Saccharomyces cerevisiae S288C: one gene and its partners. Changing the gene in region 4 together with the main gene of any one other region gives a genetic interaction. Each region holds a gene or a part of one and is shown on either strand. Other genes may lie near its edges.

Evidence for each region.
Region 1: mutations in PSD1 (region 4) and COG8 together harm fitness more than expected from each alone (negative genetic interaction), as found in Saccharomyces cerevisiae (5 studies listed by BioGRID).
Region 2: mutations in PSD1 (region 4) and CRD1 together harm fitness more than expected from each alone (negative genetic interaction), as found in Saccharomyces cerevisiae (9 studies listed by BioGRID, with this or other methods).
Region 3: mutations in PSD1 (region 4) and SPO14 together harm fitness more than expected from each alone (negative genetic interaction), as found in Saccharomyces cerevisiae (5 studies listed by BioGRID).

Annotation. Positions count from the first base shown.
Region 1 is NC_001145.3:127,583-135,503, reverse strand, and holds COG8 (Golgi transport complex subunit COG8), read left to right. Parts: upstream 1-3,931; coding exon 3,932-5,755; downstream 5,756-7,921. Other genes in the region: FACT complex subunit POB3, read right to left, coding at 1-4; DAK1 (dihydroxyacetone kinase), read right to left, coding at 275-2,029; TCB3 (Tcb3p), read left to right, coding at 6,137-7,921. UniProt on the Saccharomyces cerevisiae protein: Acts as a component of the peripheral membrane COG complex that is involved in intra-Golgi protein trafficking.
Region 2 is NC_001136.10:199,862-204,927, forward strand, and holds CRD1 (cardiolipin synthase), read right to left. Parts: upstream 2,710-5,066; coding exon 1,858-2,709; downstream 1-1,857. Other genes in the region: chaperonin-containing T-complex subunit CCT4, read left to right, coding at 135-1,721; biotin--[acetyl-CoA-carboxylase] ligase BPL1, read left to right, coding at 3,178-5,066. UniProt on the Saccharomyces cerevisiae protein: Catalyzes the synthesis of cardiolipin (CL) (diphosphatidylglycerol) by specifically transferring a phosphatidyl group from CDP-diacylglycerol to phosphatidylglycerol (PG).
Region 3 is NC_001143.9:500,844-508,223, reverse strand, and holds SPO14 (phospholipase D), read left to right. Parts: upstream 1-1,828; coding exon 1,829-6,880; downstream 6,881-7,380. Other genes in the region: DID2 (Did2p), read right to left, coding at 1-285; DAL80 (Dal80p), read right to left, coding at 517-1,326; YKR032W (uncharacterized protein), read right to left, coding at 1,393-1,707; GMH1 (Gmh1p), read right to left, coding at 7,121-7,380. UniProt on the Saccharomyces cerevisiae protein: Required for meiosis and spore formation. Seems to be involved in the coordinate induction of late meiotic events. PLD activity is induced under sporulation conditions and seems to be necessary to complete the meiotic cycle, but not for vegetative cell growth.
Region 4 is NC_001146.8:315,669-319,305, reverse strand, and holds PSD1 (phosphatidylserine decarboxylase 1), read left to right. Parts: upstream 1-1,634; coding exon 1,635-3,137; downstream 3,138-3,637. Other genes in the region: FMP41 (Fmp41p), read left to right, coding at 497-1,276; APC1 (anaphase promoting complex subunit 1), read right to left, coding at 3,424-3,637. UniProt on the Saccharomyces cerevisiae protein: Catalyzes the formation of phosphatidylethanolamine (PtdEtn) from phosphatidylserine (PtdSer). Plays a central role in phospholipid metabolism and in the interorganelle trafficking of phosphatidylserine.

The DNA of each region.
Region 1 (7,921 bases), on a different chromosome or scaffold from region 4:
TCATAATTCTTGTTCAACAATACTAGATTGTTCCTTCACTTGTTAACGGTATTTCCTTCTTGTTCTTACCACCGATTCAACATCTAGCTACTCTCATACTATGTATATCTCTGACACTCGCGTTAACATTTCACCAGTTTAACGATTCGTTTCGCGTTGAACCGGGTTATACAATCGTTCTTCGCGATGATAATAACAATAACTCCAAGAAAAGTAAGCTTTTTCTATATATATATATCATAAGTATCTTGATATGTATTCGTGAGCCAAGTACTTACAAGGCGCTTTGAACCCCCTTCAAAAACTCACATAGGCCTACTGCACCAGGATCTTCTACTTGAGATGAATCGCCGACATACGAAGCTCTGCCAAATTTGGCCTCGAATGTAGCAGTGGATTTAGCACCTTCCTCTGCAGCTTTTACCGCCTTATTGAAATCCTTAGATGCAGTAAATTCTTTAACGAATGGTTCTAAAGCATCAATCATGGTGGATGATCCCTTCCTTGCCTTTGTATATTTGTATAAAGTATCCAATGCAATTCCGAGTGACTTAGCCACAATTTCCTTAGTGACGGGTTCATCCTTTGATTTACAAACCTGAATTAATCCGTGTGAAAAACCCGACAAAAGAATAGAATATAAACCACCAGAAGTACCTCCCATTGAGCCTTCAATGAAATCTGAAATTTGGGCAACCGCCTGAGATAATGAGTCCTTCGACAGCTTGTCAAGGTTTTCGGTGATGCCTTTAACTCCTGCCACTAAAGTGTAACCACAATCACCATCACCAACTTGATTGTCTAGTTCCGTAATGTGCGGTTCGCTCTTGATAACTTGTTCAGCACCACTCTTCATCCACTCAGCAAACTTGTCAAAGTCATAGGTACCGACGGCCTTTGCTGTTACTTCATTATGTAACAAGTCATCGTTAACAGATGGGGCAGAAGTCTTTTCAAAATCTGCAATTGGCCAGCCCGGTGCGTTCGTAAATGCGTTCAACAAGTCTAGTACTGATTTGATCTCCTCAAAATCAGATTGCAAAGCCTTTGTAGCCTTAGTGGCGTTTAGTAATGTGATACTGAACCCATTACCATTGAAGGAGGTCATCAATGTGCCAGCAATTGTTTGAACCGGGGTTATGTTGTAATTTTCCTTTAAGAAATCCGTAGTTTTGGAAGTGATAGAACTAATAACAAAATTAGAAACACCGCCGAGATTGTTAACTAACAAGACAACTTCATCATCTTCATCAAACTTTACAAAAGCTCTATCCTTATCGTTTGGATCCAATAGTTTTGGTAGCATATACTTGGAGATCAAGTCTTCGGTAGAAGGAATAGGGTCTAAAACTTTCACACCAGGTTCGTTATGAATACCCATACCCAATTCCATTTGTTTTTCGTTTAATTCACTTTCGAATTTCCTGCCAGGAACTTTACAATGGTCTAAAGAAGATCCAATGGTCACCAAATTGTCGTTGATAATTTTAGCCACTTTAGCTGTACCGTCTAAGCCATACTTACTAGAATATTCTTCTGCGAAGGCACCTACAATCTTATGAACCAAAACGGTACCTGCCAATGCTCTTCTACCAACCATACCACCCTTTTCTCTGCCAACTGCAACATCATCACCTATGACAGCAACGCGGCAGTTAATACCCAAGGCTCTTGCTCTCTCAGCGGACAGACCAAAATGCAAAACATCACCTGTGTAGTTCTTCACAATCAATAAAACGCCAGACGCATTTTCATTGACTAAACGGATTGCATTTAAAATCTGTTTTGTTGAAGGGGATGCAAAAATTTCGCCAACCACGGCGCCACTCAACATACCCTTACCAATGAAACCGGCGTGTGTAGGTTCATGTCCACTACCACCACCAGAAATTAATGCGATCTTGTCGGAATCGGTCTTTCTGAAGAGAATTTTTTCTTCAGGGACCAGCGTAATGGAGGGGTTAGCAAGGGCAAACCCTTTGAGACTTGAATTGACTGGATCTGTGACTTCAAACGATTTAGCGGACATTTAAAATTTAGTCTTAGATATAGAATGTAATCTTATTCTTTGATGTGTTCGTTTACAGTTGCTACAAATAGTGACTACTTGTAGCGAAGTTGAAGTGATTTTCTCCTTATATATTTATTCATCAGTTAGTTCGACAGACGCTCGCGAGGTGGCCACTCTTTCAAAATGACGCAATTGGGAGTGGTTTGATCTTTCTCCCTTAGAAGCCAAATTGGCAAGCACTCACTCCGGGCCAGATTTACACCATGTTTGTAGCGCATTTAAATCAGGAAATGCATTATATTTCACTCTCTCGTCTAGCGAGTCTTAATGTTCATGACGGGGGAGCTTTATGCCTTGTTTTTTATCACAGCGCCAGACAATTGACAGTAACAAATAAAGGCAAAAAACCCTTGAATAGCACCAGAGGTGTTTACTGATTGCTTTTAAAGTACGTATAAAACTGTAAAATATAGATTAAATTCGACCGCCATTACTTTAGAGTTGAAATTGGGAAGCCGTATATTGCCATTTCAGCCATGCTTCTATGGTTCCTAATGGAAGCATGAATGACATACGCAATTTGATGAGCTTGAAAAGGGCGTAATTGACAAGCCAGATTTGAATCTAATCCCTTGAGAAATTATCTGCAAGTAGTAAAAAAATCTCTAAAAGATGTATAATTGAGTCGCCTAGAGACCTCATTCATCATGATATTTGACACCTTAATTTTGATAGTAGCGGGTCAGTCATTAAGAAGAAAGTGAGCTGGGGCTAATCATCAACGATCTCCCATAATTACGTACGTCAAAGACAACACGTTGGCAAAGGTAAGAAGAACGTAGTGCGTATCATGCTTACGGTGAATTTCACCCTTTTTTTCTGTTATTCGTGCTGATCCACGGGGTATTCAATTGAAGATATTATCTTTATCATCATATCGGTAAGCGTCTGGGAGAAGCAACTGGTCAAACGTTTTCAAAAACCATTCTTTAAACAACAAACCGATCAATGTTCTTGATCAGCTTATCAATCTATCCGATCTCCTGCGTTCAGCGTGACCGCCACACTTATGTCTAGATAATTTAACTTCCAGTTGCTAATTTCCCGCTAAAGTATCTTATGTTTACCATCACTGTAGCCGCCCTATCATATGCAACACTTCCATACTCATTTTCGGAATAAGAAGCAACTATCATCTAACGACTAGTATTTATATTACTGGTATATTACCATATTGGGTATAAGACGGTCAAATAAATATTGAGAAACAGTCACCAATTTTAATGGAAATTGAAATGAAAGGGTTGATAATGTGCTAGGAAAATGAACGAGAACATACAAAATGAAAGAAGAAATAATAATATTCCTACACAGAAATATCGGTTCTCTATTGTGGATTTTCATATTCTCGAGGAGAACCTCTAGTACATTTTGTGTATCTGGTATCACAGCGCTTGACAACTATAGAATTTAAACAATTATCTCATTCTTCATCCATCACTCAATCATATATATTAACCCCGGAAAAGTGCATTTTTGGTTTCTAATAACATTTGTATTAGTAATATTTGTTTACCCAACAATTCAAGAAATTTAGCTCGCGTGGCGTAATGGCAACGCGTCTGACTTCTAATCAGAAGATTATGGGTTCGACCCCCATCGTGAGTGCTTTGTTTCTTCTTTTTTGAATATGCTAATTCTAAATTTATAGGAAGAGTTGGATTTTCCTTTAGTTAGTTGTACTCTTGAAGTCCATTTTCTTTTTATACGTACATTAGATCGATCTCGCGATCATGGCTTCAATGTCTAAAAATATAGCGTAGTAACATACTGAAAAGAGAAGCACAGAAAAAATAATCATAGAAGTGTTAGGACATTTGAGGGAACATATTTCAACAATAAACATAATCATTGAGTAAAATGGAGCTGATACTAAACAGCCTCATTTCTGATGATTTAACAGAGGAACAAAAACGGTTAAGTCTTGATTTCCTACAGGATATCCTACAATCTAACACGAAAGACTATGAAAGTTATTTTTCATCTAGGGCTGTTCCTGGTAGCATAACTGAAGACATAGCAGAAATTGATGCTGAATTATCTGCCCTTGATAGAAAGATAAGGAAAACACTACTAGATAATACGTCTCAGATTATCGGAAATATTCTTGAAAACGATGATAGGGCTCAATTGGATGATATAGCCAAGTCTTTGGAGCAATTATGGGAATTGGATACTAATATTAATAAGGCAGCCGATCGAAACGTTACAAATGACGATATAAACAATGAAAGCGTTTCTATTGATGACTTTTTGGAAGACGATAAAGAAGACAACGACACAGGTCGCATCATGACGACTGAGAGTAACAATCTGGCAAGAAAGAAGAAGGAGGATGAGTTTCACAAGGCATTAAGTAGGTTAAGAAACAGAATTTCAACTAAAGAAGATGACAAGGACGACATTAGATCTGACACATTAGTCACTGTACTAGAAAATTTGGATAGCATTACGGATTTGATGGAACTACCATTTTTGGCCCGCACATGTATCAGAACAGGTCATTACCAGGAGGCCGTCATGCTATACACACACACTACTTCCCTGAGGTCAAGATTCCCTGGTTCAACCATTGTGGATGAAGTTTGCGAAAAAGTTTTAAACGAAATTAGTACTACCATGTTATCCGGGCTGGTAAAATTACTGTCTACTAATGTATCAGTAAACTCACTAAAGAAAATACTACAGTACTTGAATTCAATTCCACCATTTGATGGAAAGACTAATAAATCATTATTAAGTGTGTTTTTAGCCATGAGATACAAATTCATTACCGATGAAATAGCATCATATCCTTTGGACGTTGAGTCTTCTAATGAATCTTTAATTGAAATGATGGTTAAGAGGAAAATTGAAGTCCTCAGGGAACATGTCTACATGTCCTTGAATGTCTTTCTGAAAAGCTTCTTGTATGATACAAATGACTTAGAGATTCCTTTCCCAGAGGAACTAGAAAGTACTGTGCTAAGGATAAATGGGACTAACGAAGAGAAAGAAATTGAAGAAAAGGAGAAAGAAACAAAGAAGGAAGAATATCAAAAACAAGATAGCGTAGCGAACAATGAAGAAGATGTGACAGAAAATAAATCGATAGAAGATGTACAAGAGGAAGTACAAGGCAAAGTGGAAGGCGAAGATGATGGAGCAGAAAGGAAAACAGAAAATGAGATAGAAAATGAAACAGTAAACAAAACAGAAGACAAGGCTGAAAAAGAAAAAGAGGAAGAAGTAAATACCAAAGATAACAAGGCAGAAAAAGAGGAAGAAGAAATTAATAAGGTTGAGGTGACCCCAGAAGAGCCAAGCAAAAGCATAGATAACAAGGCAGAAAAAGAAGAAGAAGAAATTAATAAGGTTGAAGTGACCCCAGAGGAGCCAAGCAAAAAGATTCGGACTTCAAAAAGGGAAAACAAAATACCTACAAATGCAGTCATGTTGCAATTCGTTGATAAGTGCATAACATACGTATTAAAAGACCTCACTCGTGGGTTAAATAGCATCAAGCTGAGTGACTCCGTTTGCCTGCAGTTGGTGTACTGTTCATTCCGTCTTTGCGACCTGAATCGAAACTACCACCACCTCTTCCTAAAAAAAATCAATGACACTAGCTTGTTTACGACCGAGCAGCTCGCCCGGGCAATTGACAAGAGAGCAGAACTGGCCTCTAAATATATATACTCCTAGTATAATATTGGCTCACTATGTATTTTCAAAATGACGATCGTCCGAAATTTCCATTTTTTTATTTTTTTTTTTCACTTCTTCGCCAGCGCGAGAAGGGGGAGAAACAACAATACGAGAATGTATGTATACCTTTACAACACACTGCTGCAGTCAGAAAGGGAAAAAGGGATAATTGTACCTTACATCCTTTAGAATTGCACTTACCTTTTCCAATTGCGATACATTTCACTTTGATAGACAACTTTGCTTTTTAGCGTTACTTAATTTAATCAGTTTTCTTCTTAACAATATAAAGAGCATCATTAGCTAGCTTTGTTTATTGACATACGCAATATTGCTAGAAAGAAAATAAGTAGAGCTACGCATTGAAAGTCAAGAAAAATGACTGGCATCAAAGCTCAAGTCCATCCCCCACCTGATAGTACCCTATTTCATGAGGAGGAGAAGAAGAAAGTAGGAGGCAATTTACCTCAAAAGGTCATAAATCAACAAGAAAGGGGTTCTGATCACGCTCCATCGGGTCACCATCAATACCACCAACTGATTAACCATGACGCAAATGACACAAAGACCTCAAATTCAGTTTCTGATGTGTCTAAAGGTCAGAAAACTGCTGACTCCAACCCGGAAGGTAAGAAACAGTCATCAAAAGACATATTTGTTGCCTCCAGCGCTCAAAAAACCAATCAATTGCCCGGTCCCAACCCACAGGGAAGCATAGGAGCCGTGCCATTGGAAGGTTTACGTCCGAAGGAATTCAGATCAGCACCATCTAGGAAGCCAAATAAATTCGACACTTCGATTACTAAGCCTGGCGTCTTAGACGACTTAGGCAAACTTGATGAAAAGGATATTAAGGAAAAATTTCACCTAGATTCCGACGACAAGTTATTTCCATGGCAAAATGTTGGTGAGTTCCATGCTTCAGGAAAGGGTTCGCCAAATACAAAGATGTCCAGGGTTATAAAAGCTTACATTCTGGAAAATTTTTATAACGATTGGTACTGTAATATAGCCACCGTTCTTGGAACTTGTTTCTTCTCATGGTTATTTGCTTACATTGGGTTTTCATGGTGGTCTATGATATTTATCTTCTTGGGAACTGCGACCGTTTACAACGCAGAATATACAAGATTCAACAGAAATATCAGAGATGACTTGAAAAGAGTTACAGTCGAAGAAACCTTGTCGGATCGCGTTGAATCCACTACGTGGTTGAATTCATTTTTATCAAAATTTTGGGTGATTTACATGCCAGTTTTATCTCAACAAGTCAAAGATAACGTTAACCCTCAACTGGCAGGTGTTGCTCCAGGTTACGGTATCGATGCGTTAGCTATCGATGAATTCACTCTGGGCTCTAAAGCTCCCACCATAAAAGGTATTAAATCGTACACCAAGACTGGTAAAAACACTGTTGAAATGGATTGGTCATTTGCATTCACCCCAAGCGATGTCTCGGATATGACAGCTACTGAAGCTAGGGAGAAGATCAATCCAAAAATATCTCTGGGTGTCACGTTAGGAAAAAGTTTTGTCTCTAAAACAATGCCTATTTTGGTTGAAGACATTAACGTTGCTGGTAAAATGCGTATTAAAGTTGAATTTGGTAAAGCTTTCCCAAATATCAAAATTGTTTCTTTACAACTTTTAGAACCACCTTTGATTGATTTCGCACTGAAACCAATTGGTGGTGATACTTTAGGTCTTGATGTTATGTCATTCTTGCCTGGTTTGAAGAGTTTTGTTAAAAACATTATCAACTCCAATATAGGGCCTATGCTATTCCCTCCGAACCATTTGGATATTAATGTTGAAGACATTATGGCTGCTCAATCAAAAGAAGCTATTGGTGTCCTTGCCGTAACCATTGCTTCTGCCGACTCTTTGAAAGGCTCAGATTTCATTACCAATACTGTCGATCCTTATATTGTTATGACTACCGAAGATGCTGTGCCTGGTACAGATGAAGAAGTGCGTACATCTATCAAATCAAATGTTAAAAATCCACGTTGGAACGAAACCAAATATCTATTATTAAACACCTTAGAGCAAAAGTTAAACTTAAAGTGCTTTGACTTCAATGATGTAAGAAAAGATACCGTAATTGGTGATCTTCAACTTGACTTGGCAGATTTACTACAAAACCCTGTTTTGGATAATCAA
Region 2 (5,066 bases), on a different chromosome or scaffold from region 4:
TTTTCGTTTCGCCACCAAGAAAGGCTAATTGAATACAGTTCAAGAGGTTGATATAGCTAAGTGGGCATGAAGGTTATGAATTGTAATTGGAGGTGCGGCAAGTGTGCAAGACGGGTAAAGGAGAGTATAGAACGATGTCTGCTAAAGTTCCATCTAACGCCACGTTTAAGAACAAGGAAAAACCTCAAGAGGTTCGCAAAGCCAACATCATCGCTGCACGTTCTGTTGCAGATGCCATCCGTACTTCATTGGGTCCCAAGGGTATGGACAAGATGATTAAGACATCTCGTGGAGAAATCATCATCTCTAATGATGGCCACACCATTCTAAAACAGATGGCCATTCTGCATCCGGTGGCCAGAATGCTAGTAGAGGTTTCTGCCGCGCAGGACTCGGAAGCCGGTGATGGTACCACTTCTGTGGTGATCTTGACCGGAGCTCTATTGGGTGCTGCTGAGAGGCTGTTAAACAAGGGCATCCATCCAACCATCATTGCGGACTCCTTTCAAAGTGCTGCGAAGAGATCTGTCGATATTCTTTTAGAAATGTGCCATAAGGTTTCGTTGAGCGATAGAGAACAGCTGGTTCGTGCTGCATCCACTTCTTTGAGTTCCAAGATTGTGTCTCAATACTCTTCGTTTTTGGCGCCCTTGGCAGTGGACTCCGTATTGAAGATATCTGATGAAAACTCTAAGAATGTTGACCTGAACGATATCAGACTGGTCAAAAAAGTTGGTGGTACCATTGATGACACAGAAATGATAGATGGTGTGGTCTTGACACAAACGGCAATCAAATCTGCTGGTGGTCCGACAAGAAAGGAAAAAGCAAAGATTGGGTTAATTCAATTCCAAATATCTCCTCCAAAGCCCGACACAGAAAATAATATCATCGTTAATGACTATAGACAAATGGATAAGATCCTTAAAGAAGAAAGAGCGTATTTGCTAAATATCTGTAAAAAAATTAAAAAGGCCAAGTGTAACGTGCTGTTGATTCAGAAATCCATCTTGAGAGATGCGGTAAATGATTTGGCTCTTCATTTCTTGTCAAAATTGAACATAATGGTGGTAAAGGATATCGAGAGAGAAGAAATCGAGTTTCTGTCGAAGGGCTTGGGTTGTAAGCCAATTGCTGATATAGAATTGTTCACCGAAGATAGATTGGGTTCCGCTGATTTAGTTGAGGAGATCGATAGCGATGGTTCCAAGATAGTTAGAGTAACTGGTATAAGAAACAATAATGCAAGACCAACCGTCTCTGTTGTTATTCGTGGTGCAAACAACATGATCATTGATGAAACAGAGCGTTCCCTCCATGATGCACTATGTGTTATTCGTTGTCTAGTGAAAGAGAGAGGTTTAATCGCTGGTGGTGGTGCTCCAGAAATTGAAATATCCCGTAGGTTGAGTAAGGAAGCAAGGTCTATGGAAGGTGTACAGGCTTTTATTTGGCAAGAATTTGCCTCTGCTTTGGAAGTTATTCCAACGACTTTGGCTGAAAACGCAGGTTTGAATAGTATCAAAGTTGTCACAGAATTGCGCTCTAAGCATGAAAATGGTGAATTGAATGACGGTATCTCTGTTAGACGATCTGGTACTACGAACACCTATGAAGAACACATCTTACAACCCGTACTTGTTAGTACAAGTGCAATTACCTTAGCGTCTGAATGTGTTAAATCCATCTTACGTATTGATGATATTGCATTCAGCCGTTAACATGGGTTTCCCAGTATCCATATGTTTATGCATATATACATATATATGTTGATTTAGTGTATTTTCCACTACATAAAAACTAAAAAACATTCAAAATGAAAAGTCAGGACCCTTTTCAAAAAGGATCGCAATTATACTATTTTAAAAGTTTAAAAGCGTTTCTCTTTAATGCGTAGGATACTCCGCTCATTATTGTGGTCGTGGCGGTTACATACCCTAAATAGCTAAAGGCCTTTTGAAAGTCCTGTTTTCTATCTTCGAAATCCTCCTCGGTTTTTTCACAGCCCTCTTCTTTCTCATATAAAAGTAATAATACTCCAGATCCAAGATATACCATTTGGAAAAACGTGTTCCATTTTGATAGTTGGGAAGGTCTGACCTCAGCGCTGGGATAGCGAACAATATCCCAATAGGAATTCCATGCCACACGACCAGGATATTTCAACTTTAAAGTGCTATATCGTATAAACAAAGCACTTATGGCTAGTAGCACATCTCTACCCAGAATTATCGCCGCAATAGATACCGGTATAATCTGAGGGCCGGATGGTACAGATAATGCCAAAGTTGTTGTGATCATGAGTAGTTTATCTGCAAGTGGATCTAATATGGTTCCTGCAATGGTTTTCAGGCCGTATTTTCTTGCTATATACCCATCCATAAAATCAGTGATGCTGGAAAATGCAAACAAACCTAATGCTGGGGTCAAATTATTCGTTATAATGAAGAGTCCGATAAAGGGTGTACATCCTATTCGTGATAAAGTCAAAATGTTGGGAATATTGAGCAACTTGCTCTTTATATGAGGAGTTTTACTCGGATTGGTAGCATATTCCCTCCTAGTGAGATCTCTGAAAAGATTGTAATTTAATTGCGGGTTTACCTTAAAGCGTACAGTTAACCCTGATAACACATGATAGAATGGCCTTTTCGGTATAGTTCTCCGAAGTAATGCGGAGCATGAATAAATGGGCACCATTTGAATCATTGACTAAATTATTAGGGACCAAACTATGCTACCAGGCCTGCTTGTTTCTCAATTGCCTCCTTTCTATATTTTTTCAATTGTAAATATTGTATACTCCCGATTAAGAGGATGGCTTCATGAATCGAGCTTTTTCACACTCCAGTTTCGGAAATAGTCGCCGCACAATGATTCGAAGACATGACTGTGAAGTGTTGGTTGACATTTAATATGGTTTCATGTAAGAGATCCCAGAGCTACGGACTTGGCTTTTTCTTCCTGTAATTGTTTGCCAAACGTTGGGTAAACGCACATATAAGTATATTTTACTTTCCTTCTCCCTTCGTCAGTTTTTCTTTTGCTGTAATATATTGTTCTCAAAAGTTGTTTGGTATACAAAAGTGCAAGGTTTTTACTGGTTGTTACAGGTTCAGAGTTCCAATAAAGAAGATATTAGAACGATCTTATCAATATTATCCAATTTCAACTAATATGAATGTATTAGTCTATAATGGCCCAGGGACTACGCCAGGATCAGTTAAGCATGCTGTTGAAAGTTTACGTGACTTTTTGGAACCCTATTACGCCGTCAGTACTGTCAATGTTAAGGTATTACAGACAGAACCATGGATGTCAAAGACCTCCGCTGTAGTTTTTCCTGGTGGTGCCGATCTTCCTTACGTTCAAGCTTGTCAACCCATTATTTCTCGATTGAAACATTTTGTTAGCAAACAAGGTGGTGTCTTTATCGGATTTTGTGCAGGAGGTTACTTTGGCACCAGCCGTGTAGAATTTGCTCAAGGTGACCCTACAATGGAAGTATCAGGAAGCAGGGATTTGCGATTCTTTCCGGGAACAAGCAGAGGACCTGCGTACAATGGATTTCAGTATAACAGCGAGGCCGGTGCACGTGCAGTTAAATTGAATCTTCCAGATGGCTCACAGTTCTCAACTTATTTCAATGGAGGAGCCGTTTTTGTTGATGCAGATAAATTTGATAATGTCGAGATCTTGGCCACGTACGCAGAACACCCGGATGTGCCTTCTTCTGACTCAGGAAAAGGTCAAAGTGAAAACCCAGCTGCTGTAGTGCTATGTACGGTCGGAAGAGGAAAGGTTTTACTCACTGGACCACACCCTGAATTCAACGTCCGTTTTATGAGGAAATCCACAGATAAGCATTTTCTTGAAACCGTTGTGGAAAACCTGAAAGCACAGGAAATCATGAGGTTGAAATTTATGAGAACGGTTCTTACCAAAACTGGGTTGAATTGTAATAATGACTTCAATTATGTAAGAGCTCCAAATTTGACACCACTGTTTATGGCTAGTGCACCTAATAAGCGGAATTACTTGCAAGAAATGGAAAACAACTTAGCTCATCATGGAATGCATGCAAATAATGTTGAACTCTGCTCAGAATTAAACGCCGAAACTGACTCTTTCCAATTTTATAGAGGCTATAGAGCCTCTTACGATGCAGCAAGTTCGTCCTTGCTTCATAAAGAGCCAGATGAGGTTCCTAAGACCGTAATATTTCCTGGCGTAGATGAAGATATTCCACCATTTCAATATACGCCCAATTTTGACATGAAAGAATACTTCAAGTATCTGAATGTTCAAAACACCATAGGTTCTTTACTTCTATATGGTGAAGTTGTTACATCAACGAGTACCATATTGAATAATAATAAATCCTTATTAAGTTCGATCCCTGAAAGCACTTTACTTCACGTGGGTACTATTCAGGTTTCTGGGCGTGGGAGAGGTGGTAACACTTGGATTAATCCTAAAGGTGTTTGCGCATCAACGGCCGTCGTAACAATGCCGCTTCAATCGCCTGTGACTAATCGAAATATATCAGTTGTTTTTGTCCAGTATCTTTCTATGCTTGCTTACTGTAAGGCGATACTTTCGTACGCTCCTGGATTTTCAGATATTCCTGTTAGGATCAAATGGCCCAATGACCTTTATGCTTTGAGCCCCACCTACTATAAGCGTAAAAACTTGAAATTGGTTAACACCGGTTTTGAGCATACAAAGTTGCCCTTAGGTGATATCGAGCCCGCTTATCTTAAGATCTCTGGTTTATTAGTTAATACCCACTTCATAAACAATAAATATTGTTTGCTACTTGGCTGTGGTATAAATTTGACTAGTGATGGTCCTACAACTTCATTACAAACTTGGATTGATATCCTGAATGAAGAACGCCAACAATTACACCTTGATTTATTGCCAGCAATAAAGGCAGAAAAGCTGCAGGCACTCTATATGAATAACCTTGAGGTCATATTAAAACAGTTTATTAACTACGGAGCTGCGGAAATATTGCCAAGTTATTATGAGTTGTGGTTACATAGTAACCAAATAGTAACATT
Region 3 (7,380 bases), on a different chromosome or scaffold from region 4:
TGATGCTGACACCTGCCTCATCGTGACGGCGGTTTGTACCCTTGATGCGACCGAATCCACCCGTGATGCCAACTTCAACAGTTGTAATCTTTCATTTTTCTTTCTTATAGCATTGGATGCATATATACGAGATATATCTTCATTTTCATTAAGAGCACGTTTGAGCTTATTAGTTTCCTGTTTTTCTTCCTTTGAGGCTTTATTGGCTTGCTTTTGTAATTGTTTTGATGTAAACTTTAGTTGGAAAAGAGTGTTTTCCAAACCTGCTGCAGAATTACGTGACATTTCTCAGTGCGATGTCTGACTTCCTATACTTTCAAAGTAGCTCACATCTCATCAAACTGCTTTCACATTGATTCGTTTTCATTCTTATCATTTCTTTAGGGGCAATTTTCCAGCACCAGATAAATGGCAGTGTGTTACCCGTTCGCGTAAAAATAAGTGTCACTAAATCATATTAAATTTTATATACTATATCCTGTTATATTTATACTGTCATGAACGCTACATCCTTTCTTAATGTTGTGGGTGAGATTGTACTGAAGCTCTGGAGTGTAGTTCCACTTCCAGTTGCTTGCATTTTTCGTTCAGTTGGAATATGTGCTTTTTGTATAGGTCTGTCACCAACTCCAATTCGCTTATCTTGGTCTTCAATTTGATTACCTCCTCCTCATTATGTAGCTTCCAAGTTAGTTCTATTTCTGGTACAGCGGAATCTGAAAAAGGTGAGGGTTCTAATAATGTTGACAAATTAGGCAGCCTTGTCAGCTCTATATTTGACGTGTATATATCTGAACCGTTGATCTGATAGAGGTAGTTTTTCCCACTAGGTTCGCAGGGGTCCAAAGAAAATTTTCCCCGCTGCGTGGAGCACTCCTTTGTGTTGGGAACGGTTTCCTTTGGTTTTAACAGTGGCTTAATGGACCCGCTCACCATAAACTTTTCCAGAATAGAAACCTTCGGATTATTCGTAGGTAATGAACCACCACCAGTTGTAAGCAGTCTCTTCTTTCTCTTGAATATTTTATTTGGGTCGTTAGAATGGGTATTGGCATTAGTGTTCACATTGTTGTTATTCAGCTTTTTCCTATTTCTTGACTTAATGGTGTCCGTCTTCAAGCTGATAGGCCTTGGTTCCCCGTGCAACTTCAGGAAGAGGCCACATGCATTACAGAGAACAGTACCGTGTTCATCTCTTCTCCATAGGGGCGTTTTGACAGTGAAACAATTCTGGCACGTGGGGTGGTCCTCTCCGTCACAATCATCCACTCCAGCAGCAGCTGAAAGTGTAGGCGAGGGCAGCTTCAACGAATCACTAAGCACCATTCTCTTATATATAATATGATATAATATAATGTAATATAGTATGACGGCAGATAAACAATATCCCGCTCAGTAATACAAAATTACTACTGTCTCAGAAAGAATAACCAAGAGAAAATCGAAAAAACAGTAACTGTATCCAAATTCAAGCTGACGCTGGATGTATATATATACTAAGCAACACTTGCTGATTACAGTCCAGGGATGCCGCCACAATGCAGCGAGATAAGCCCAGGATCGGTTTCTATCAAGCATTCTTTGCTGTTTGATTAGCACTAGTGATAAGTGATAAGGTGGAAACTCGTTATCAACGACAAACGGGTGAAGATTGCTACAGCCCTTTGGGTTGAACAAAAGACACAAACATAACGATGAATACGCCATGGGGAAAGATTTAGTGGGAAATTAGCAGGACATTATAGGCACGACCGGTCACTGATAATTCACACGACGCATTGAGAGGCACGTACGCAAGAAGAAAAGGTAGGATAGATAAACAAGGGTGATGTCTAACGTGTCAACAGCGTCTGGAACTCACTTCGCTCCACCTCAGGCAGATAGATCGGTGACTGAAGAAGTAGATAGAGTAAATTCGAGACCAGATGAGTTAGAAAACCAAGAAGTATTGCGGCAATTACCTGAGAATGGCAATCTGACTAGCAGTTTACAAAGAGAAAAACGAAGAACTCCCAACGGCAAGGAGGCGGAGAGGAAGCATGCATTGCCCAAATCCTTTGTAGATAGAAACCTGAGTGATGTGTCACCGAACCACTCATTAGACCATATTATGCACTCTAATGAACATGATCCTCGTCGAGGTTCTGATGAGGAAAATATGCACCGGCTCTACAACAATCTCCATAGCAGTAACAATAATGTTCATTCTAAGCGGAATTCTAAAAGAGAGGAAGAAAGAGCCCCTCAAAGGCGTTCTTCTTCTGTAGCTTACACCCAACAGCAGTTCAATGGCTGGAAGAAAGAGTTTGGCCACGCTTTTAAGAAAATCTCTGCTATTGGTAGACTGAAATCCAGCGTAAATTCTCCTACACCGGCTGGAAGCGGCCATCGTCATAACCAGCACCAGCATCAACAAGTAAACGAAGAAGATTTGTACACACAAAGACTAGCCTCTGATTTATTAGATTCGTTATTGGCAGGATGCCCGGCCTCATTGTTCGCAAGCACGCAATTTCTGAGAGACGAACATGGGAAGAGAAGGGCTCCTCTGCTATTAGCTAAACTAGATGTAAGAGTGTCTCCCTTGAAAAATGACAACAACATTTTGGATATTACCAATAGCAACCATAACCATCGTGGTAACAACAACAACAATACTGGCGAGAATTCTGATAGGAGACCCTCTATTCCAAGGAGCTCCAGCATTATAAGCATTTCTTCGAATGTGGCGGAATTTATGTATAGCAGGAACGAAAACTCTTTATTTAGAATACACTTGGAATATGGGATTGATGAAGACAGGCTCAAATGGTCTATTATAAGAAGTTATAAAGATATCAAATCACTACATCACAAATTGAAAATCGTCGCGTTCCAACAACTCACTATAAGCAAGCTTTATAGTGATAACAACAGATATCATTCGTTACAACTTCCGCATTTCCCCCATTATAAAGAAATGGTTAAAGAAAGAAATGTAATGGAGAAAAAAGCAGAAAATAAACCATCCTCTGCAGCCTCAGCTCCTCATACATCGGAAAATAACAATAACGATAATGGCAGCAACATTACATCGTTAGAAACTTTATCATCTTCTGAAATATCTGAGTTTAATATAGATAACGTCAAAATGAAACATTTACAAGACTTAATTGACGAACCTGACGATTTCTCCCAACCGATACATTTGAGGCTAGAAAGGTATTTGAGACTACTGAACATTGCATTATGTTTGAGACCTCATGCAAATAGATTGTTTGAATTTTACGAATTATCTCCCTTAGGCAATTTATTAAGTCGTGAAAGTGGGTTCCAGGGCAAACAGGGGTATTTAGTAATTAGATCTACTGCCAAGGCCCAAGGTTGGAGAGTTTCTCATTTTGGTAAACATGCGTTTAAAGACATGATCGACAGACATACTACCAAATGGTTCCTGGTAAGAAATTCTTACCTAACTTACGTGTCGGATCTTTCTTCGACAACTCCTTTAGACGTATTCTTAATAGATTGGAAATTTAAGGTTAGATTTTCTGGGAACAAGAATAACATACTTGATAACGAAAACGAGATCAACTGGATCATTCATGATCCCAATTTAGAAATAAATGACGAACTAGAAGAGTTCGGTATTGAAAATGATGCCAATAATATCCTAGACAAGAATGGAAAATCGAAAACACACCAAAAGAAGTCCAATATATCTTCAAAACTATTATTATTGACCCTAGAAAACAGTGAAAGGAAACTGAAAATTATTTGCAAATCAGAGAGTTCGTTAAAGCAATGGATGAGTTCAATTATCAAAATGTCTACCTCAACACCTTGGTCGAAACCAAATAGATTTGGTAGTTTCGCACCTGTAAGAACAAATTCGTTTTGCAAATTTTTGGTAGATGGGCGTGATTATTTTTGGTCGTTAAGCGAGGCCCTCTTAATGGCAAAGGATGTCATATATATCCATGATTGGTGGCTATCCCCTGAATTATACTTGCGACGTCCGGTGAAAGGCAACCAGGGATTTAGAATTGATCGTATGCTGAAAAGTTGTGCAGAAAAAGGTATCAAAATTTTTATTGTGATTTATAGGAATGTGGGGAATATTGTTGGGACAGATAGTCTTTGGACCAAGCATTCTATGCTAAATTTACATCCAAATATACATATCATAAGGTCTCCCAATCAATGGCTACAAAATACATATTTTTGGGCACACCACGAGAAGTTTGTCGTTATTGATGAAACATTTGCATTTATTGGTGGTACAGATTTATGTTATGGTAGATATGATACTTTTGAACACGTTCTACGAGATGATGCAGAATCTTTATTAGATCAAAATTTTCCTGGTAAGGATTATTCAAATGCCAGAATTGCTGATTTTCATGATTTAGATAAACCATTCGAATCAATGTATGATAGAAAAGTCATTCCGAGGATGCCATGGCATGATGTGCAAATGATGACTTTGGGTGAGCCAGCAAGAGACTTAGCCCGACATTTTGTTCAAAGATGGAATTACTTATTGAGAGCTAAGAGACCTAGTAGGTTAACTCCATTACTAACCCCGCCTTCAGATTTAACTGCTGAAGAATTGAAGAGTTTGCCGATGTTCGAAATTCTACGCGAAAAATCGACTTGTGAAACTCAAATACTTAGAAGTGCTGGGAACTGGTCTCTTGGGCTAAAGGAAACGGAATGCTCAATTCAAAATGCTTACCTGAAGTTAATTGAACAAAGTGAACACTTTATTTATATTGAGAATCAATTCTTCATTACATCAACTGTCTGGAACGGGACTTGCGTTTTGAATAAAATTGGTGATGCTCTCGTTGATAGGATAGTCAAAGCTAATCAGGAGAAAAAACCTTGGAAAGCCTTTATTCTTATCCCACTAATGCCAGGATTCGATTCTCCAGTAGATACTGCAGAAGCCTCAAGTCTTCGTTTAATTATGCAATTCCAATATCAATCAATTTCAAGAGGTGAACATTCTACATTTAGTAAACTGAAGAAACTAAATATTGACCCAGCTCAATATATTCAGTTCTTTTCACTAAGAAAATGGTCGACTTTTGCGCCTAATGAAAGATTAATCACCGAGCAGCTCTACGTTCATGCTAAAATTCTGATTGCTGATGACAGAAGATGTATTATAGGGTCTGCTAATATTAACGAAAGATCACAACTGGGTAATAGAGATAGTGAGGTGGCAATTCTTATTAGAGACACCGACTTGATAAAGACCAAAATGAATGGTGACGATTACTACGCGGGAAAATTTCCTTGGGAATTAAGGCAGCGATTAATGAGGGAACATTTAGGTTGTGATGTAGATCTTGTTGAGTTTGTTGAAAAGAAATTTGAAAGGTTTGAAAAGTTTGCTGCAAAGAATTATGAAAAACTTCATACCCTAAGTAAGGAGGGAGATAGTGGTAACAATTGGAGCGATCGAGAAATGATCGATTCCGCTATGATTGAGCTAGGTTATCGTGAAATATTTGGTTGTAAATTTAGCCCTCAATGGAAGAGTGGTCATGGAAACAGTGTTGATGATGGAAGCACTCAGTGTGGCATAAATGAAAAAGAAGTGGGAAGAGAAGATGAAAACGTTTATGAAAAATTCTTCAATTCTGTGGACTACGGTAAATCATCACGTAAGAGAACGCCTCTGCCCAAACATAATTTTGCATCTTTAGGGCTAACATTCAACCACAGGGCAGGAATTGAAAATGTCGGTATACGAGACCACAAAGTCTTAAGTACTGATCCAAGATTAAGAAAGAATGATGAACATAAAAAAGAGGTTGATGGCTACGGTCCCGATTGTTGGAAAAAGGAATCCAACAAAAAATTCAAGGCCGATGCAACTGAACAGCTAAAGGAGTGGGCATTGAACTCATTGGCCTCGAAAGTTCTTGACGATAAAGAAATGATAAAATCAGAAATTCCAGAAGGATTTTCAAATTATTTGCCCAATGAGAAAGATCTAGAAATGTATCTCACGGATAAAACTGTTACCAATAGAAACAAATGGAGTATGCTCAAAAGGATATGCTACTTGCAATATTTATCTCATAAACTCGACGAAAGAAAAACACAGAGATTGAAGAAAATCAAAGATATGAGAAGACATTTAAGTTCAAGCACAGAAAGTACCAGAAATGGGTCTAATAGTCTGCCATTAAACGAAAAGAGCAATGAAGGAGAAAGCACTAATGTCGACCAAGATATCGAAGGCGATGAATATCATAGATTGCACGAAGATATTTTGAAAAATCAAGAACTAGATGATGGTTCACTGGACGATCTACTTTCTCAGATAATTCCTAAGATCACTAACTTTAACAGTGGTGAAATTGATGACGCAAAAAAAGAAGAGTTATTGAAACTCAACTTCATTGACCCGTATTCCTTCGAGGATCCTCTTATTTCTTCGTTTTCTGAAGGGCTATGGTTCACTATAGCCTTGAGAAATACATTACTCTATAAATTAGTGTTTCATTGTCAACCCGATAATGCTGTACAAAATTGGAAAGAATATGGAGAATTTACTGAATTAGAACAAGAATTTCAAATAAACCAGGAAAAGTTGATTGACTTAGAGGCTGAAAATATTAATTCTACTACTACAAATGTTGTAGATAAGGATAGGGAAAAGGAAAAAATGAGAAAAGCCGCTGAATTGAGAATGAAGTTATCCGGTAGTTTGCTTTATGGATTCAATCAAAAGGTTTTTGACAAACATACGGCGCAGAGAATCTTGGAAAGGATCCACGGTCATTTGGTCATTTTCCCAACCGAATGGTTAGCTAAAGAAGTTGAGAGTAGAAATTGGATTTTTAACTCGGATAGACTTTCTCCAATGGAAATCTACAATTAAGGGAATATAAAAACGACCAGGAACACACCATTACCTGTATTTTCCTTTTATCTGTTATAAGCATTCGACGCTGATACATAAACAGTTTTCATTATGCATTCTTTTGGTCCATAGTGTCATTATTGCTCTTATTACTCATTGCATTTTTATACTTCAAATATATATAATAATAATATCATTATGTAATTTATGTGCTTTATCTTAAAGAACCAAATTTTTTCTATTTCCGTGTTCAATTGCTTAATAATTGTAAAAGCTTAATTTCTTGGATAAGTCGATGCCAAATAAACTGATTAAATAGATTATCGATAATCCTAATGTTGGTAAAAGTATAAAGTTCAAATTTTTCAAGAATGGCAACTGGTTGTATCCATAAAAGGTTAAAATAAAGTAATGGCCAATAGCAAAACAATATAACGAATTACCAATGAGTAAGGAAATCCAGTTTTGTAAATTAATTATGGGCAGTAGTAAAAACTGAATGAAGTATAGGCACAGTA
Region 4 (3,637 bases):
AAATCCCTTTTATTCTCCCGCTTTTTTCTGTATTTATGTAACTTCAAGATTTTTTTTTCTATATTTGATATAAACTTTAATAGGGTTCTTCTTTTCAGAAGTTTATCAATTGCTTAAGCCTCCTTTTGTTGATCAACAACAATAAAGGCTTTATTATCGTAAATTTTCCTACAGCATTTATTCTTCATAGAGCATACCGTTATAATTTCACCGTCTTTTCACTACGCTCATAAAGAGAGTACAGTTATACTGCTGCAACCCTAGCATGTATCAAGCTGTGCTGCTTATACCTATTTTGAAAGGGCCATTCCTTCTTTTGCCATTCCTTTTTCGTCTATTTTCCTAAATAGCTTCCTTAGCCTCACGTTTTTTTGTTCGCTTTCAAGAGATGGTCACCGTTCTCTAACTGATAAGGAAAAACGTTTCAGCCAGAACTTCCTATATAGAAATATTCTGAAAGCTATCGAGTAAAGACTCAGGAAATTGCCAAAACGTTATGAGCTACAATTATTTGAAGGCAGCTAGAAAAATTATATGCATTGGGCGTAATTACGCAGCGCATATCAAAGAGCTGAACAATTCAACTCCAAAACAACCGTTTTTTTTCCTAAAACCAACCTCGAGTATTGTGACACCATTGTCTTCATCATTGGTCAAGACCACTAGACCTGCAAACTCGACTTTCAATGGTTTAAATGAAGACGGAACTAACCCCGGGCCCATTTTTATCCCACGCGGTGTGAAGGTTCATCACGAAATTGAGTTGGCATTGATTGTGAGCAAACATTTGTCCAATGTCACTAAGATGAAACCCGAAGAAGTCTATGACTCTATTAGTGGTGTAGCTCTAGCATTGGATCTTACAGCAAGAAATGTCCAAGATGAAGCCAAAAAGAAGGGGCTACCTTGGACTATAAGCAAGGGTTTTGACACCTTCATGCCAATCTCTGCTATAGTCTCCCGCGAGAAGTTCTCATCCTACAAATCAAACTTACAGGATATTTTCAGAGTCAAGTGCTCTGTTAACGGACAGTTGAGACAAGATGGTGGTACTAACCTCATGTTGCACCCACTCCATAAAATACTGCAACACATATCTACCATGATATCTCTGGAACCGGGTGATATCATTTTGACTGGTACACCTGCAGGTGTAGGCGAGTTAAAGCCTGGTGACCGTGTTCACTGTGAGCTATTGCAGAATAATGACAATATTGTCGACATGAACTTCGAATGTGAAAATCGGCCGGGACCATATGAATTTAGAGAAACATAATGTCTGTCGCATTCACGCTTGTCGCAGATAACACGTTATGCGTTACTAATTTCCTACAAGCTTGGCACATATACGACCAATTGTGCTTCTGTATACGCTACGCTATGTAATCACATATCACATGCAGGGTAACCAGCACCTTTTTGGTGTTTTTTCAAATCTCGAGGTCAAGGGACATCTAAAGCAGGCACAAGCATGTGGAAAATTTGTTCTTCACCTATAATATAAAACAGCTTACTCACAAAAGAGACGCCTAGAGGTACGTAGCGCTTTAAGGACTCTTCAGCCAGTTGTTAGCAGATCGCTCAAATCCTTCTTGGTCGTTATTTTTTGAAGAAGAAGGAAAAGCAAAGCCAGCATGTCAATTATGCCAGTTAAGAACGCCTTGGCGCAAGGGAGGACGCTCCTCATGGGGAGGATGCCTGCTGTAAAGTTTTCTACAAGAATGCAATTAAGAAATAGAACTGCGGTGCTATGGAATAGAAAGTTTTCCACGCGTCTTTTCGTTCAGCAACGACGCAGTTCTGGAGAGATTGTGGATCGTGCCAAAGCTGCTGCCGCAAATAGCGGAAGAAAACAGGTCTCCATGAAATGGGTTGTTTTAACTAGTTTCACCATTGTTCTAGGAACCATTTTACTAGTGTCAAGGAATGATAGTACAGAGGAGGATGCTACAGAGGGCAAAAAAGGGAGAAGGACAAGAAAAATCAAAATATTTAACAATAATTGGCTCTTTTTCTGCTATTCTACTTTACCGCTGAATGCGATGTCTCGATTATGGGGCCAAGTAAATTCTCTTACGTTACCCATTTGGGTTAGACCATGGGGTTACAGGTTATATTCTTTCCTTTTTGGAGTTAACTTGGACGAGATGGAAGATCCTGATTTGACACATTATGCAAATTTATCCGAATTTTTCTATCGTAACATAAAACCAGGCACACGTCCAGTAGCACAAGGCGAAGACGTTATAGCTTCTCCAAGTGATGGAAAGATTTTACAAGTTGGTATAATCAACTCTGAAACTGGCGAAATCGAACAAGTCAAGGGAATGACATATTCCATCAAAGAATTCCTTGGCACTCACTCCCACCCCTTGATGTCTAAGAGTGCATCTAGTCTAGATTTGACTTCTGATGAGGAAAAGCATAGAGAATTCGCCAGGGTAAATAGAATACAATTAGCGGGTTCCGAAGACACTGAACAGCCTCTTCTTAACTTTAAAAACGAGGGCGATCAATCTGTTCGAGAGTTCAAACCAAGTGTGTCCAAAAATATACATCTTTTAAGTCAACTTTCTTTAAACTACTTCTCTAATGGGTTTTCGTGCTCTGAGCCTCATGATACGGAACTTTTCTTTGCCGTCATTTATTTGGCTCCCGGTGATTACCATCATTTCCACTCTCCAGTTGACTGGGTTTGTAAGGTTCGCCGCCATTTCCCAGGTGATTTATTCTCCGTGGCACCTTATTTCCAGCGTAACTTCCCTAATCTTTTCGTTCTAAATGAAAGAGTTGCTTTGTTGGGTAGTTGGAAGTACGGATTTTTTAGCATGACTCCTGTTGGTGCAACAAATGTTGGTTCAATCAAGTTGAATTTTGATCAAGAATTTGTGACAAATTCAAAGAGCGACAAACACTTGGAACCACATACCTGCTACCAGGCAGTATATGAGAATGCAAGTAAAATATTGGGAGGGATGCCTTTGGTTAAGGGTGAAGAAATGGGTGGCTTTGAATTGGGTAGCACTGTTGTACTTTGTTTTGAAGCTCCCACTGAATTTAAGTTCGATGTTAGGGTTGGTGATAAGGTTAAGATGGGACAGAAATTAGGCATAATTGGAAAGAATGATTTAAAATGAAAGCAATCATATGTAAAGTTAGCATTTATTTTGCTGTATATAGTATTATCTGCACACTTTGATTTAATTCTTCTTTTGGAGGTATGTAAAATTATACGCTGTACATTTTTCAGATTGGACTTGTTAGATGTAAACTTTAGATTAAAGATGTTCGTCTGAAGAATTTTAGCCATGTCATGTACCCCTTTCATAAACCAAGTTATACACAAAGATTACACCTTACCCCAGTTTTGGAACCTTTTAAAGCTAGTCTTAGATACCCAAATAAATATTCTTGAGTTTTGCATTATTCATCATGTGGTCCAAAGCTTTTGTACCACAATTCGAGTTGGCAATCCAAAATATCTCCACTGTTTTTATCTGAACACAGCAAACCTAAATTATAAGATTCTGAATCCGTTAATGCTGTATTATTTCCTGCACTCAAAAGAGTATCGAGTTCCACCATTGTCAAATCTTGAATACCCAAACTTTCAACCAGTTGCGAAGAGGTGGTATTT